Linked DNA regions of Macaca fascicularis. The protein of the gene in region 2 purifies or fractionates together with the protein of the main gene of each other region. This does not show direct contact. Links are inferred from orthologs where the notes say so. Each region holds a gene or a part of one and is shown on either strand. Other genes may lie near its edges.

Region 1 (6,074 bases), on a different chromosome or scaffold from region 2:
TCCCGATTCATGCCCTTCTCTTTGGCCAAGGTCTCATCAAACCCTTTCTCTGCTTCTTCAAATGTGTGCTATGTAAAGAGACAGGGTGCCTTTATTAGAGACAGACTACAAACCCAGAAAGAATATAGGCCCATCCCATCTACACTGGGGGTTCTGAGGTGTTACCATGCCTGCTCAGTGCCTTGTGCCAGTTATCGACAAAACTGATCAATCTCTTTTATTTAATTCAGCTTCAATTCCTTTTTTTTGTTGAGACCGAGTCTTGCTTTGTTGCCCAGGCTGGAATGCAGTGGTGCAATCTCGGCTCTCCACAATCTCCATCTCCTGGGTTCAAGTGATTCTCCTGCCTCAGTTCCCCCGAGTAGCTGAGATTACAGGCACACACCACCACGCCTAGCTAATTTTTGTATTTTTAGTAGAGATAGGGCTTCACCATATTAACCAGGCTGGTCTCAAACTCCTGACCTCAAGTTATCCACCCACCTCAGCCTCCCAAAGTGCTGTGATTACAGGTGTGAGCCACCACGCCCGGCCCTGGCTTCAGTTCTCATAATAAGCCTTTGAGGAAGATACCATCATCATCTCTATTTAACAGCTAAAAACACAGACTCAAAGAATTTAAGTGACTTGTCCAAGATAACACAGCAAAGGCAAGACTGGAACCCAGGTCTCTCAATCCCATGTTCAGAGCTCTTTTTCTAATATAAGACTCACTGATAAGTTCCCTCTGCAGCAGTAATCAGCACAGGCCTCATGATACTAGAACAGAGAGAACTGGCACTTTCTAAATTGGTATCATTTGTATCACACTGATTTTAAGACACCTATTTTTCCATATTTTAACATCTCTGAAAAGAGATGTCTTTTTTTTCCGAGACAGAGTCTCACTTCATTGCCAAGGCTAGAGTGCAGTGGTGTGATCAGGACTCACTGCAGCCTTGATCTCTTGGGCTCAAGCAATTCTCCCGCCTCAGCCTCTCAAATAGCTGGGACCACAGGCATGTGACACGAGGCCCAGCTAATTTTTTTATTTTTTGTAGAGATGGGGTCCCACATGCTGCCCAGGCTGGTCTCAAACTCCTGAGCTCAAGCAATCCTTCTGCCTTGGCCTCCCAAAGTTTTGGGATTACAGGCATAAGAATCCGGCTGAGATGTCTTATAATTATTGATAAGAAGAAGGTACAAAGTCAGCCGGGCACAGTGGCTCATGCCTGTAATCCCAGCACTTTGGGAGGCCGAGGCGGGTGGATCACGAGGTCAAGAGATCGAGACCGTCCTGGCCAACACGGTGAAATCCCATCTCTACTGAAAATACAAAAATTAGCTGGGCATAATGGCACATGCCTATAGTCCCAGGTACTCGGGAGGCTGAGGCAGGAGAATCACTTGAACCCAGGAGGCAGAGGATGCAGTGAGCCAAAATCGTACCACTGAACTCCAGCCTGGTGACTGAGCAAGACCCAGACTCAAAAAAAAAAAAAAAAGAAAAAAAGAGGTACCAAGTCACAGTTTAAGTGGCATATTTGCATTCTTAGTCATACATAAAATAACGTATAGAATAATGGTGTGGCAATCCATATATGTTTGCTTTAAAAAAAATGCAATAAAGTAACTATTGATTCATACTGAGCATAAAAAATTCACTGGAGACCGGGCACGGTAGTTCATGCTTGTAATCCTAGCACTTTGGGAGGCCAAGGCAGGTGGATCACCTGAGGTTGGGAATTCGAGACCAGCCTGGTCAACATGGAAAAACCCTGTTTCTATGACAAAAATTAGCTAGGCGTGGTGGTACACGCCTGTAGTCCTAGCTATTCGGGAGGCTAAGGTGGGAGAATCGCTTGAACCCGAGAGGCAGAGGTTGCGATGAGCTGAGATTGTGCAACTGCACTTCAGCCTGGGCAATCCAGCTCAAAAAAAAAAAAAAAATTCATTTGAGACCAAAACAAAAACTGATGCTTGCTCCATAGCAAGGGCCTGTGGCTGCCCCTTAGGCCAGGTGATTCTCTATGTAGACGTGCTTTCCTAGTGTTGGGAATGGACCCATCTCCTCACCCTGTACCACTGAGGCTTCTGCATCTCCTTCGGCTCACGCTGGGTGGTGAGAATCAAACAGGCACGAAGGGCGGCCACAGCTCCCTCACGGATGGCTTGTTTGGGGTCCCACACAGCCACAAAAATGTTGTCAAAGAAGGGCTGCACTTGCTGGAAGAAGAAGGTAGGGACGCTGATGGCCAGCTCACGGAGAACCAGGACCTAGAGAAAAAGACAAACCGAGAACTCTCGTCGGTACCAGTGCTTTGTTCTCTCAGGAGTACGGTCTTTTATCATCTTAGAGCCATACACACTAGGAACAGAGAAGGCTTGCTCACTCTTCCAGCTAGGAAATTCTGGGGACAGAGGAAGAAAGTAAATTTGATTAAACATCTCAGTGGTCATTATCCTAAGTTGTTTACAAACACAGAATGCTTGTAATGTTTGAATATAAGCTCTGGAAGTGCAGATGTGTTTTATGCTTTCTATATCACTATACTAATAGCATAGAACTCTACCTGGAATACTGTAGGTATGTAGTAAACAATTATTGAATGGATAATCCTGTTTAATGTTTAATCTTGTTGTTATTTTTATTTGACAGAGGAAGAAACTGAAGGTCAGAAGCTGCCCCAGGTTACAGAGTTAGGTAGGAAGTTGTAAAGCCAAGACTTGAGCCAGGGTCCAAGTGTGTGTCCTTCTCCTGGTACCATGCCCCCCCCTCACAGTAGTGCCTCCTCTGAAGGGCAGCAGACTGGAAAGCATGCGGCTGATGCTTCTGATCCCTACCACACCACTGCTAGATTCTCTCTTAAGGACGGACTCTACCCCATCTCACAGCCTGGAATCCTAGCCCTTCTAACCAGCCTTTTTCAGGGATGAGCCTCAGAAGGAAGCAAAAGACCCCACCATGACACCATCGCTCCCCAAGCCTGGCTGTGCTCCTCCCTGCAGGCACTCACAGCTGCGTGTCTCCGGCCCTCATTGCGGTCAGCACCCAGCCATTCCAGGGCTCGCTTCACCTCAAATTCCACATACTCAGCGGTGAAAGTGTCTCCTGCCATGGCAAGGCGGCCGATGGCCTTGGATGCCATTTCCATGACAACTGGGTCATTGGAGGGGAGGAGGTTCCGAAGATAGTTGGCAAATCTGCCAATTCGGGTGGCATTCCCACCTTCCACTCCTATGAGGCTGGCTGGAAAAGAGAGGAAGGCAAAAGGTGATGATGGGGCATAGGCTGACCAGGAAAGTACACAGACTTCAACTAAAAGCTGGCAAGTGCTGGCCAGGCGCAGTGGCTCAAGCCTGTAATCCTAGCACTTTGGGAGGCCAAGGTGGGCGGATTGCCTGAGCTCAGGAGTTCGAGACCAGCCTGGGCAATATGGTGAAACCCCTTCTCCACTAAAATACAACAACAACAACAAAAAATTAGTCGGGTGTGGCGGCATGCGCCTGTAGTCCCAGCTACTTGGGAAGCTGAGGCAAGAGAATTGCTTGAACCCGGGAGGCGGAGGTTGCAGTGAGCCGACATTGCGCCATTGCACTCCAGCCTGGGTGACAGAGCAAGACTCTGTCTCAGGAAAAAAAAAAAGAAAAAAAAGCTGGCAAGTGATCCCTCCATTCTACTTTGAGTACACTTCTAGAGGGCAAGGACACAATTTTTATTTTAACCCAGATATTTAATACTTATGCCAGAAATATTTACATACAGCAAAATAATCTTATGCTAGTATAATTTTCCTCCCTAGTCCCCCAAAAAGGGAAAGCAAGTGAGACTGGATAATAATTCACAGGACTGATGACCAGTCCTTAGAAGTTAAAAATGACCTGCCTGGCCAGGTGTGGTGGCTCACACCTGTAATCCCAGCACTCTGGGAGGCTGAGGTGGGCAGATCACTCGAGGTCAGGAGTTCGAGACCAGCCTGCCTAACATGGTGAAACCCTGTCTCTACTAAAAGTACAAACACTAGCCGGGCATGGTGGCAGGTGCCTGTAATCCCAGCTACTCGGGAGGCTGAGGCACGAGAATCGTTTGAACCCAGGAGGCGGAGGTTGCCACGAGCCAAGATTGCACCACTGCACTCCAGCCTGGGCAACAGAGTAAGATTCCATCTCAAAAAAAAAGAGACCTGCTTTTTATTAACTATACCGATTCCACTTTTCCATTCGTGAGCCCCACTATGCAAAACCCTGCTCTACTGAGGAACCAGAGCCCACAAAACGCAACATGAAGGAGGGAAAAGAAAGCTGGCTTCCAGTCTCAGCTCTGGTAAACTGTCTGAAAAGTCACTCAATGGTTCTGAGACTCCACCTCCACATCTAAAAATACGTTTTTCCTGTAGCCCAGGACTGCTGCTAGAATTAAAAGCCACAGGCTTCTTAAATTTCATTAAGCAAATATGAACTAGCATCCAGTAAGTGGCAGACACAGGGTGCAATGGGCACAAAGGTGAGTGTGTTGTTTTTGTGGCCAGAGACTCTGTCCTTACCTATGGCCAAGATGCCACCTTTCCTCTCATTGGCATCTGAGCTGGAAACCAATTCAAAAATGTGATGGTTCAGCTGGTCATAGAAGCGAGTAGACTCCTCTTGACTCATCTGCAAAAGAAGATATAATCAGAACAATTTCTAGTAATTCTCTGACTGTGGTGGTGGGAGTGGGCTGGCATCTAAAGATTAGATCCTGAGAGGCAGGCAGTATAGTTCAAACCAAAGAAGACAAGCTACTGCCCACTTCTACAGGATTACACTGTAGAGCACCTGAACTTGCAATCCTCTGATTATTTAACAAATATTTATTGGGTATCTACTCTGTGGCAGAAAATGTTCTGTCCTAGGTTCTTTCTAGTACCAGGGATACAAGGATAAACAAGATACTGTCTCTGACCTCAAGTCTGGTCTCTATTTAGAAAGTCCCTAGTTCTCAACTCTCCAAACCCATCCCAATCACTGTTATCAGACAGAAAGCATTTGAGGGTGTGGTATGTGGTAAGGAAAAAAGAAAAAGCTAAAAGAAACAGCTAAGTCTATTCTGGCCCCTAAAATGTGACCACAAACAAGAAAAATGCCACAGAAATGTGCAACTGCTGCAAAAGAACCTGCATGTTTTATGGATGTGAGAGGTTGAGTGCCTTTCTAAAATAATCTCTGTTTTCCAAATCCTCGCTTAGCTGTCCAAAAAAAGTCTAAACCAGTGATGATACATTTAGCCCAAACATCCCACAATGACTGGCCCCAAATCGCAGAAGCACCTCTCGGAGTTCCATGGTGACATAGTGCTGGAGCTCCTTGGCAGCTTTGGCCCTGGTCTCTTCATTCCGGCTCTTCAGGCCACTGGCAAACTGCTGTAGAACACTCACATTGCTAGATGTGGTGGCAGCGGTGGTGGCGGCGGCAGGTCCGGTTCCAAGCATCTTGCCCTGAGGTTCTTTAAAGAGAAGTTTCCTTTAATATTCTAAACAAGAAAGTATGGTGATAAATTTACTTATGGCCCTGGTCATCCAACACAGATCTCCCCCAAGCCCTTGTCAGGCAGGGGATTCTAAAAAGGTTGAGAGATCTTATTGAGGAACATTTAGAAAGCCTAGATTCATTAAACAATGACTGATGTTTAAAAGAGGCAGTGTGGTAGGGAGGGTCAAATTGCGGGCTATGGGAGCTAGCCTACTTGGGTTTGAATCCTTGGGTTAGATACCTTGAGCAGTTTTGGAGGCCGAGTCAGGAGGACCACCTGAGGTCAGGAGTTCGAAACCAGCCTGGCCAACATGGTGAAATCCCATCTCTACTAAAAATACAAAACTTAGCTGGGCGTAGTGGCATGTGCCACCCGGGAGGCTGAGGCAGGAGAATCACTTGAACCTGGGACGGGAGGTTGCCCTGAGCCAAGATCCTGCCACTCCACTGTCTCAAACAAAAACAAACGAAAACAAAAACAAGGTTATATACCTTGAGAAAGACACTAAAAATGTTTCTTCAACTACAATAGGAAGATAATAGTACCTAGTTCATGGGTTGATGTGAGGACTAAATGAGTTAATACA
Region 2 (5,618 bases):
ACGAAACTTTGATGAATATATATACCTTGGATGCAATTCCTTCTTTCCCGGGGAGGCAAGCAAAGTGTACCCAAGAGGCCAATTTACCCGCTGTGGTCAGGAACTTGCCCACAACCTGACTCAAAGCAAATATGTTCTCTCAAGAGGACACTGCAGCGTTTTCCCCAGAGCTGAAGAAATATCTTCACTTAAATAATCTCGAAGTTTGTAATAAAATAAATAAAGTGAATGACACAAACAGGACTAGAGCTCCCTTTAAAAAGGCAGCTGGTTGAGTTTATGCAAGCAGTGTATATACAAGCTCATGCCCCAACAACAACCAGAAAACAGGTTATTATTATTTAGCCTTCCTATTATACTTCTAGGGCAGCATTTCAATATAATTTAAAAAAAAAAAATCCCTCATACATAATGTAAGGGTATACTATAAATGTACACACTTTTACTCCTCAGTTCAAGCTTACTTCTTTAGAAGTAAAGACAGTAATAACCCAAAGAGTTACACGTCTTCCCACTAAAATATTCTTTTAAAAGGTGCATATTGTAAAGAGCAGCTTGTTTTTCTGTCAACGTGAACGTGTTCAGTCTCAGCAGCCTCAGAATCACAGTCCATGGATGGTTCTGCATTTCTGCCGGGTCCTCAGGAAAGCACCCGGGCAGGTAGGGAAAAAACCATGAACTACAAACACTCTCTGAATACGTCCATTTTCCCTGAGCTTCCTTGAGCTTCTTGCAGAGGGCCTCGCTGCCATGAGGATCTGGCTTCACATCTCTGAGAGATGCTACGGGAGGGGAGGTAGACTGGCTCTGGCTTCTCCAACCCACCCAACTGCGTGTCTTTTCCCTTCTCAGCCAAGATGATGAAGCAGTCCTGACGGGCAGGGTGCAGGCGCCTCGGCCAGTCCCCGCACACCTTCCAAGTCCAAAGAAGTTCCTGGCCTCTTGCTTGGTAGGAGAGGAGGAACCTTGGGCTGAATCTGACATCATCCCTTGCCAGTTACAAGCTTTGCTTTCTAAGGCCACCTGGGAACACTCCCTGGTTACCAAACCTGAGCATCGTGGGCACCACAAAGAGCTTATCTTTCCTCTCCTGCTCAGACACCCTTGAGCCCGCTGTTGCAGTGGCAGCTGAGGGTTCAGAGGATAGCACCATGATGACTGACAGCTCGAGGCCCCACTTCTTGCAGGAGGTGACCCGCCTGTTTCCGGTTAGCCATACATCTGCTTGAACTGAAAGCACTCGTTGCAGTAGCCGTTGCACTTGGCATTGCCAAAGTGATCACAGGCGGGGGCCCGGCAGCGCTGCTTGGGGGGGTCTTCGGGGGCAGGCTCACCCCGGTGGGCCCCGGGGCCCATCCTCGGGTTGGGATGCTGGCACTCCATGCAGAGCTCCTCGCTGCGGCAGGCCAGGATGTTCTTGCAGGAGGCCCGGGCGCACTTGGGCCTTGAGGTGCTCTGTGTGGTTCGAGGCACATCTCTGCGCTGGCTCGATCTCTGAGTGGAAAGAACAGACGGATCATTAAAAAGTCAGGAAACTATTGCTCACATTTCTTAGGGACAGCACAGTGAAATCTCATTGGATAGTGTGGAGTCTACAAAGAGCTTTACCTGCCTGAGCAAGGGAACAGGAGAGCACCGCAGTCTATGAGCCAGAGCTCTTGAAGGATGTTTCCTTCCAATCTCAAGGAAAGCTGACTTGGCCCCCAGGGAGGCTGAGGAAAACCGTCAAGCCTAAGTTGGTCTGCAAACTTTCCCTGGCTCTCTTCTGTTGGGACCAATAACCACTGCTCTTAGATAGCTTCTCTACCATTATGTGAACAACAGGCGACACACCTGTATCTGTCAAAGCTGGCTTTTCTGATGTACCATTAAGCGCAGGCCCCCGGCAAGCTCGGTCTGTTCGCTCCTTGTGATAAACGATTATTTAAGAAGGGCTGCTTTTTAGATGTCTGTGCTTCTCTTACAAATCAAAGAAGGCTCTGATCACGGTCTGGCTTTCTGGGGGCTGGAAGAAGTTTTATGCAATGGCTGTGTTTCTTTGTTTTTAAAATAAATTCAAAAGTATTCTTGGAGCATGAAAATCGGTGGCAGCATTTCGGACCTGGGGAGCCACAGTGACATGGACATTCCCCTTCAGGTTCTGAACTAATCCTTTATCATGAGGGGACAGAACCTGGCAGAGACGAAAGCCTGCTTGTCACTGTCGGAAGCCAACGCTCCAGTAAAAAGCACCGGACACACGGGAGGGAGGGAAAACTCCTCAAAATGTCTCACCAGTTGCTCTTCTGTCCTTTTGGCCTCATGAAATCTCTGATTCTGAGCTTCAATGAAACACTTCTGGCAGTATCCTTCAAACATGGTGCTTCCAAGGGTGCCGCACTCCCTCCCCAGGCACGGAATGGTGTTCTGGAACCTGGAGGCTGTGGGACTGGCTTTCCCTGAGGCAGCGACCAAATCTACACGAGAGTGGATGCTAGTTAGTACCACATAGGGGTCACCCCACAGATACAGAGATGCTGACATTAGAGAAATAAATGGGTTCCAAATACAGATTAGGCCAGCCTTAAATATATAGAAATATATATATGTACATATTTAAGTATATAAATTCAGCAAAAGAAATAATAACAACACTATTATGGAAACATCTTTGGCTTTACCAATCTCTCATTTTGAACTTGAAGCACCGATTGGTCACAGGAACAGGGCAAAGAGCAGGCATTACCTGGTCACCCTTCTTTCAAACGAGAGATTTCCAAAACCACATCTGTTTCCTTACAGTGTCAAGAGAGACTTCCTTCTCTCCAGTTACTACTCTTCAGATTTTAAGATTGTTCTATTATATCTAAGTTGCAAAAGAAGTCTAGTTTAAGACTGTCTTAGATACGCCAGACCTGAACAGTCTAGTAAAAGAAAATCCCATGAGCTCTGTCTACAGGGCACTCTGGTTTTTGGAATGTGATATTAGGAGCTGCTACAACCACGCAGTGCCTTTTGCCTCCATGGGCAGCTGGCAGGGCCACCGTGGCTGTCCCATGCACAAGCCAGTAGAAAAGCACGGTAGGTCCTGACCACTCTGCCTGACTGCCCACACGGGATTTTTTCCTTAAAGGTCAGGAACAAAACCTCTTCTGGACAGTAGCTGCTATGTTAGGAAGTCAACCATTTCACTCACGTTTGTTTTCTCTGTACTCGATGAAACACAGTGTGCAAAAGCCCTTGTTTTCTGGAGTCCCAAAATACATGCAGCCAGCTTTTCTGCACTTGCTGGTCCCCGTCCTGTCCCCCGGAGTCCGTGCAGCTTGAGACAGGCAGCCAGCGGGGGCGTCATTTCCAGCTCTGTGGCAAGAATGCGGGGAGGGGCTCCGGACGAGCTGTGAGGGATCTGACTTGGAACGCTGGTGACAGGAGGGAGGGAGGCTGGTGCTGAGGCTGGAGGAGGCCTCTGCTGTAGTCCTTTTGAAGCAAGTACTGCAGATCCCATTAAATGTCCTGGTGACATCCTGGAGGCAGGCTTGGCACTTCCCGGGATCCAAGTGCCTTGTGTGGTCTGCGGCGTGGCTGGCGTGAAGTTGCCGGGCGTTGTGGCAACGTTCACAAAATCCGTTGTGCTGCACATTCAGTGTGAAGGGGCAGCCGGGGCTCCTGCACTTCATGGCAGTGGTCTCACTGAACAGAAAAGGGCTGGGTGCTGTCGGTGGAGCAGAATGAGGCCCCCCAGTGGGCTCCTCGGGGTTCCACGCCAAGGGCTCATAGGCTTCTCCCCGAGAGGCCCCGAGCGCCATGCCAGGGAGCCCCTCGGGGCCCGGCTTGGAGTTCAGCTTTGGGAGTTTGTTTTGATTCTTTTGCCGCCTCTCTGAGCACTCATGGCATAAAGGCTGGGTGTTCACAGACATGAAGAAGGGACAGTTGGGCGTTTCACATTTTACATCCATGAGAGAAAGCTGGGGCAGGGAAGATTCCATGGGATTCTGGGCATGCATCTCGCTCCTCCCCTGCTCGCTGTTTTCCTGCCATTTCTTGTACTCATGCTGAACAAGCTCAAAGTAATCATCTACCAGATTGATTTCTTTTGGTAAGTTAGCTTCATCCAACCTGAAGACCAAAAAGAAAAAATATGTATGAGACTACACAAAATCACACACAAGATTTTACATCATTAGCCTACAGAACAAAGTTTTAGAATATGGATTATGGCAAGAATTGCAGAACCATTAACTGAAACGCAGGCCTGTGATGAAGAGCTCACACTTTTCATGTAACATGATCTGACACATTTCCCAACACGTTCTAGAGTCAAGAATGATGTCAGTTAGTTTGCTAAGACTTCCTTATTTTTAAAATCACAGTTTCATTTAATCAATCTTGGTCCATCCAAAAATTATAGATAGTTTTAAAACAAGGGCTAAAAAAAAAAAAAAAAAAAAAAAATATCAGCTGACTCTTTAATTTCTCAGAGATCAAGTTTTGAGTAAAACATCACTCAGGCCATTCGTTTGGGACTAGTCTACTTTATAGCACAAACTACTTTGGAACCTCAGGTTGGGTATTTTGCTATTACTAACTTTAAACTTGTGTCTGGTCTCCACCAGCATTAGCAGCCATGAGTAACTAAGATGCAGACACACTCAAAGGCACTTGCCTATTTACTGTTGACTCTGTAATTTGCTAATCTCCACGTTGAGAGACAGATTCTCTTACGGCCTCCTTGTCATCTCTTGTGCGTCTCAAGTGCTCAGAAACAGGCATCTCTTTAACATAAAGCCAACGTTTAAAGACCAGATACCTGCACAATGGGCATTCTGGGGCTTTCCTCCCATTCCATGTGGCAGAATCATGAGCTGCAACAGGAACAATTCTACAGCCCCAGCTATGTCTGATGTGCCTGTTCTTACCAAGAAGCCAAGAGAGAAAGCTTTTTGTTTCCAAGTGTTTTCACTTGCTAGTCTTTTTAATACGTACCAGAGTAATTAAAATACAAAAACAAAAAACAACAACTATCCTTGATGTAAATGCACTTTGAAAACCCATAATTCTGCAATTCTGGCTTTTGGGATCCAGATATCTAGGAAACTCAATATGGATAAATGACTTATTTCGATTTGAAACCCAAGTTAGTACGGCCTTACAGAATCCTCTCTAACCATGCACAAGGCTCTGAATTTGTTTCCCACTGGCAGAAACTGGCCACAAATCACTCTACTGTTGAGCTTCAGGGTGGCAGCAACTCAGGCGGCTGAGGTTAAAGACAGTTACAGATGACACAGGAGAGAGCTGAACATAAACTGCTTACTTTGCGGCATTGATGAGATGAGTTGTGCCATGGTCCCAGCCTTGGACAGGGATTTCTATCACCATTAAGTACTCTTTTAAGAGCTTCTCCTTCATCTCATTTTCAGGATCTGTCAAAAAGTGAACTTTCAAGTCTTCAAATCTTCCTCGGTCTCTGTTAACAAGTGGAACAGCTCGGATTTCTGAGGGAAAAAAATAACACATAAGTAAAATCGTATTCTACTAAACAAGGCCATAGGTAAGTAGATCGCATTTTGAAAGTGTGTAAAATATATAATTTACAGAATAGAAAACTATTCTCAGCCACAGTTAAACCCAAAAGGGAA
Region 3 (6,074 bases), on a different chromosome or scaffold from region 2:
TTGCCTCCAGCATTTAGTTCTTTTTCTTTCCCTTATGAAGAATGTATACATCTATTACATGTGCAATTATTAATACTTGGGGGGGAAGGAGTAAGCTATGGAAATATGTCAAAGAAGTCTTCTAAGCAAAGAGAATAGCAAGTGTAAAAGCCTTAAATTAAGTGAAAAGCTTGACATGATCAAGAAACAGAAAGAAGGTGGCAGAAGGTAAAAGAGGACAATGCCCAGATGAGCAGAGCCTTCCTAAGAGTTTATATTTTATTCTAATTTTGGTAGACTATTCCAGGAGTGTTTTAAGCATGCAATTGATAAAACTTGACTTGTGTTTCAGAAGATGACTTCTTAATGCTGAAGATGAAAAAAGAGAAGAGGAGAAGGAAAGACAAGCTGAAGAAATGGCATCAGGTATTTGGGAATGTTAGTCACCTGCATTATTTCTCAATGGAACTCTTAGGACTGTCTCACATGTTACAGAACAACATGCTTGTTTCACATCCACTAAGTGCTGGTAGCAGTCCTCCAGTAATTTCGAAACCAACCCTCCTTTTCTACCCCTCTCAATTGCTTCTAGTTGAGAACCACTGACTGCAGCTTTTTTCTACATATTTATTTTTGGCTGAGGTTCCCTGATTTATGCCAATCAGAGAATTTTAGCATAATAAGCTCTTTCTTGAGCTGTATTCCATTTCTTTCTCATACATAACAAATTTAAATTGTTCTGAAAAAGCAAGATGTTAAAGTTGGATGCAGGTCTTTTTTCAACCTGTTTTTAAGTATCTGCAAATCATATTTTTAATAAGGTATCTTCTGTGGAGATGTACTTTAATGGGGTAATCTGGAATCAGGAAGACTTGTTAGGATGTTAGACACAGATGATGGTAGTTTGGATTAGGTTAATAGTGGTGGAGACAGTGAGATGTAGTCAGATTTGGCATATGTTATGAAGACAGAAATGAAAAGACTTTAATAGATTAAATATAAAAACTAAAGGAAGGAGAGGAATCAGGGATGATACCTATCTTGAGCCAACTTTTAATGCTAAGAAATGAGTACCATTAACTGAGATGGGGAAGATCAAAGAAGGAACAAATCTGATGAATGAAGAATGGGGGAGAAAATTTCTGGTTTGGTCCTATTAACTCTACGATGTCTGTTACAGCCAAGTAGAGATTTAAACACTCAGCTGGACATTCCAGCTTGGGGCTCAGGAAATGGAGAAATAAACTTAAGCTGAGCTTTGAGGGGTACTCCATCATTTTAAAGTTTGAAAAAGGAGCAGCCAACAAAGGAAATTGTTCAGGATCAACCAGAGAAACAGAAAACCAAGGGTATGGGATCTGATTAGTCAAGCAAAAAACGTGTCTTAAGAAAGATGAGGCCAAGTGCAGTGGCTCATGCCTGTAATCCCAGCACTATGGGAGGCCGAGGCAGGCAGATTGCTTAAGTTCAAGAGTTTGAGACCAGCCTGGGCAACATGGTGAAACCCTGCATCTACAAAACACACACACACACACACACACACAGAGACACAATTAGCTGAACGTGGTGGTGCATGCCTGTAGTCCCAGCTACTCGGGGAGCTGAGGTGAGAGGATCACCTGAGCCAGGGAAGTTAAGGCTACAGTGAGCCATGATGGCACCACTACACTACAGCCTAGGTGACAAAGTGAGACCTTGTTTCAAAAAAAGAAAAAAGAAAGACAAAGCACCCAATGATTATCAAATGCTGGTTAACAGGTCAAGTGGTGGATTTGCTAACATGGCAGTCCTTGGTTACCATGACAAGAACAGTTCCAGCAGAACAAGTAAGAGAAAGAATGAAAGGTGAGAAAGTAAAACAGAGTAAGCATAGATAAATCTTCCTAGGTATTTTGTTGTAAAGGGAAGCAGAGTAATAAGATAATAGCTGAATGGGGACATTGGTTCATGGAAGTTTTCCTAGGATTAGCAAAAGTACATTATGTTTATATGCTAACATGAATGATTCAGGAGAGATGGAAAAATTGAAGACTCGAGAGAAAGGGTATGTCACTGCCAAAGTAACCTTCTTAAGTTGGCAGCAGGGGATGGAATACAGAGGAAAAGTGGAAGTATTGGCCTTAGAAAAAGGAAAGAACAATTCATCTCTTATGAACGAACAGAAAGAAAAGTACAAGGATAAATTATGTAGCCTTGTGGTTTTGCTGGTGAGGCAATAAAGCAGCTCTCTTTTGGATTCTATTTTCTTAGGGAAGCAAGGTTATAAACTGACAAGGTGGGAAGAGAGTGTTAGAAAATTACCAAGAAAGAAAACAAGAAACAGTCATTTAAAGATTGACAAAGTGATTTTATTAGGAACTACGGTAGAACTTCAGGGGAGCCTACTTGACAGCAGTGGTTAAAAATTTTAAGAACAGCCCACACTGCTATCTATCTTTTCTAGGTCCATTACACAAGAGATAGCTGTCATGTACCCAGGTACTCTCCTTCCTATTTCCCAGTCAAATACTACCAAATCCTTCATCCAGTCCTCCTGAGCCATGGTTTCTAAGATTCATACATCTTGGTCACCTTTCTCTGGTCCAGTTAACAAATCTACCAGTATCTTTCTTGAAATGCTGTGCCACAAACAGAATGGCCCTTGGTACATAAAACAGTGGATTATTACCTTAGCCATTTTAGACACCATAACATATGTATATTACATAAACTGGCAGATGTGGCTAACATTAAGCTCTAATCAAAAGCTATACTATTTCCTGCCCTTGCGTTGAAATACAACATACCTGACTTAAATACCTAACATCTAGTCCAATTCGTAAATCATATGTGAACTGCTTTTCCAAATCATGCTAGCTCACAGCAACCTTTTCTTTTCTGGGGGGCTTATTATCTGGGGGGCTTATTATTTGCACCGCTTATTTGGCATTGCTTCAAGCTATCTGTTGTTTTTCTTTTGCTTATGTCTCATTTCTCCAGTTGGAATGTCAGCACTAAAAGTGGTAAGTATAGCACTAGAACAAAAACTAGTGTGTAAGCATATATATATATATATATAAAATATTTATTAGCTGACTTCCCAGTATTTTTCCCTATGGCTTCAGAAACTCTTTTAAAAAGTACATACTTTCATTCCTACATTTGTTTTTTTTTGGAGACCGAGTCTCACTCTGTCGCCCAGGCTGAAGTGCAATGGCACAATCTCAGTTCACTGCAACCTCCGCCTCCTGGGTTCAAGCAATTCTCCTGCCTCAGCCTCCCGAGTAGCTGAGACTACAGGCGCATCACGCCTGGCTAATTTTTGTATTTTTAGTAGAGACGGGGTTTACTATGTTGGCCAGGCTGGTCTCGAACTCCTGACCTCAGGTGATCTGCCAACCTCGGCCTCTCAAAGTGTTAGGATTACAGGCATGAGCCACTGCACCCAGCCTATTCCTAAAATTCTTATAAAAATTTACACTCTATACTTAAAATTATTTCATACATACTTGGTGGGTCAGCATTTTCGTCTCCAGTAGTATCCGAAGTTGACAACAGCTATGAAACAAGAGAAAAGTTAATAGGTAAAATCAGATATCCCCAACAATCTGAAAGGAACAACACTAAAGTAAGTTTATGTTAAGTATATGTATATATTCTATTGAGAACTGAGTGATTTATGAGCTTTACTTTGCTTTCTTTCACCCTAATCACATAGATTTCCTTAAATTTCATGTTATCCCAAATTAGAATTCAAGTATTTCTCTAGTTTCAGGAAAGTAGAAAAATGTATCAGTGGTTTCTCATTCCATTAGGAAAATAAGATTTTAACTGGGTTACTCTCAAAGGGTCTCAGAGCCTAACAAGTTATTTTTTGTTTGTTTTTCTGGAAAACAGCAAAGAGACACTAAACCTCCTTCTCTAATCCCATCACAAATTTGTACAGTGGCAGCATAAATGATTTTTCAAAATAGTAAAAACAAACAACAATCTTTTTAAAAAGCCCTAAACAATCAAGTTGATTACAAAAGTAAAAATCAAAGTTGTCATTAACATCAATGAAAATATGTACCTACAATTAATAAAAGAGAAATAAGTATAACTTCTAATACAGGTTGGTACAAAAGTGGTCACGGTTTTGGTCATGATTTTCAATGGCAAAAACCATGATTACTTTTGCACCAATCTAATAGTATTTTTATTATAAAGCAGAATTCAAAGTTGTTGATTTTAAAAATATATTTACCTGTTCAAGAAGATGAGGATATCTACCTTGAATCTCATCAACAAACTCTTGACCTTTCATTCGTATCAAGAACTCACACCTAAAACATATGAGGAAAATTATTTTTTAAAATTGTTCCATATCAATATAACCTGACCATTCTAGAAAAAATGGCTTTCAAATCTTTCATTGTACCCCACAGTAAAAACATTTTACATCACAACCCAGAACACATACATATCTAACGGGAACAAAATTATCATAAAACAATATACATCTTACTGTGTGTTATATATCATGGTATTTTCTTTTTTTTTTTTTTTTTTTTTTTTTTTTTTTTTTTTTTGAGACAGAGTCTTGCTCTGTCACCCAGGCTGGGGTGCAGTGGCCGGATCTCAGCTCACTGCAAGCTCTGCCTCTCGGGTTTAGACCATTCTCCTGCCTCAGCCTCCCGAGTAGCTGGGACTACAGGCGCCCGCCACCTCGCCCGGCTAGTTTTTTGTATTTTTTTAGTAGAGACGGGGTTTCACCGTGTTAGCCAGGATGGTCTCGATCTCCTGACCTCGTGATCCGCCCGTCTCGGCCTCCAAAGTGCTGGGATTACAGGCTTGAGCCACCGCGCCCGGCCAATATATCATGGTATTTTCTAATTCAATCCATTAACACAACAACAACAAAAAGAAAAGCGTCTGCACCTACAAAGGGGAACAAGTTGACTCCCAAAAAACACTATTATACACAATTTATTTTGTGCTTAAAGTGAACTACTTAACAGTTTCAGATACTATTAACTTAGTATTCCTACAACATGATCTTTCACAATATAACTGCTCATCTTTCTTCAATGTTCACTCTTCCATTACATTTGAGCCACAATCCACTACCTTCCCTCCAAAAAATATGGAATCAAATATTTTTATCTATATATAATGTGACAGTGTTTCTCAAGTATTTGTTTTTAAACTGATAGGGCTTCTTGAAGATGTTCCAAGAAGTTCACATACCATCTATATCCATTCTACTCCTTTTGTTTCTTCAACAAATGATACTCTACAACAGGATATACGTATTTAAAAAACAAAAAACTCTGACCTATGCCCATATTATATGCAAAAATAGCAAAAATAAAAGTAAAAATAGATCATATACCTAAATATAAAACCTAAAATAATAAAACTTCTAGGAAAAAGTACAGGAGAAAAATACTTTTGTCTTTACATTAGGTAAAGAATTATTAGACAAAAGACCAAAAACATCTTCTACAAAAGATAAAATTGATAAACTGACATCATCAACATTGAAAATATCTGCTCTTCAAAAGATGTTAAAAAATGAAAAGCCACAACACTCGAAGAAAGTTTGCAAGAGTGACATCAGCAAGACGGCAGACTAGGAGACACCAGCCTTCTTCCACCCACAAAAAACAATAAAGAGACAGCTATCCACAAACAAATACAGCTCTGGAAGAACTCAATAGCCCAATCAGCCTACAGCAATACAGTGAGGAGGGAAAAAAAAAAAAAAAAAAGAGAGAGAATAACCACACAGAAAGGACTGCTGGGAGATCTGCTTAGCAGAGACATCTGGAGACGGCTAAGAACAAGGGGTGAGGGCTATCTGTATCAGTCATGTGGTGAGTGCCATCACAGTCCTCAGTGGCAAAGACTGCTAGGCTCCTCCCCAGAGCAGGTCCCTGGAGACCCCAATAACCCTCAGGATAGCCACAGACTTCCTGCAGGTTTCACAGTGAAGGACCCTATAGTGTTCATTGATGCCAACTGCAGTAGCCTACTCTGCAGAGGACACTGAGAGCTTTCACCATTAAGGTAACCAGCACCCAGCACTGCTGTGAACCCCCTGGAGAGGGAGACACTACCGCACTCCTCACCCT

The links.
Region 1: the proteins of TNFAIP3 (region 2) and MTOR purify together in Homo sapiens (affinity purification with western blotting, with the first as the bait; 3 studies listed by BioGRID). This does not show direct contact. The link is inferred for Macaca fascicularis from reciprocal best matches to the Homo sapiens genes TNFAIP3 and MTOR.
Region 3: the proteins of TNFAIP3 (region 2) and BIRC2 purify together in Homo sapiens (affinity purification with mass spectrometry; 5 studies listed by BioGRID and IntAct, with this or other methods). This does not show direct contact. The link is inferred for Macaca fascicularis from reciprocal best matches to the Homo sapiens genes TNFAIP3 and BIRC2.

What each region holds. Positions count from the first base shown.
Region 1 is NC_088375.1:223,550,155-223,556,228, reverse strand, and holds part of MTOR (serine/threonine-protein kinase mTOR), read right to left. Parts: intron 5,489-6,074; exon of another isoform or gene 5,462-5,488; 5' UTR 5,448-5,461; coding exon 5,286-5,447; intron 4,633-5,285; coding exon 4,524-4,632; intron 3,230-4,523; coding exon 2,997-3,229; intron 2,257-2,996; coding exon 2,056-2,256; intron 69-2,055; coding exon 1-68. UniProt on the Homo sapiens protein: Serine/threonine protein kinase which is a central regulator of cellular metabolism, growth and survival in response to hormones, growth factors, nutrients, energy and stress signals.
Region 2 is NC_088378.1:41,917,225-41,922,842, reverse strand, and holds part of TNFAIP3 (tumor necrosis factor alpha-induced protein 3), read right to left. Parts: intron 5,475-5,618; coding exon 5,294-5,474; intron 4,096-5,293; coding exon 3,176-4,095; intron 2,457-3,175; coding exon 2,275-2,456; intron 1,495-2,274; coding exon 1,210-1,494; 3' UTR 1-1,209. UniProt on the Homo sapiens protein: Ubiquitin-editing enzyme that contains both ubiquitin ligase and deubiquitinase activities.
Region 3 is NC_088388.1:101,371,627-101,377,700, reverse strand, and holds part of BIRC2 (baculoviral IAP repeat-containing protein 2), read right to left. Parts: intron 4,284-6,074; coding exon 4,205-4,283; intron 3,517-4,204; coding exon 3,468-3,516; intron 1-3,467. UniProt on the Homo sapiens protein: Multi-functional protein which regulates not only caspases and apoptosis, but also modulates inflammatory signaling and immunity, mitogenic kinase signaling, and cell proliferation, as well as cell invasion and metastasis.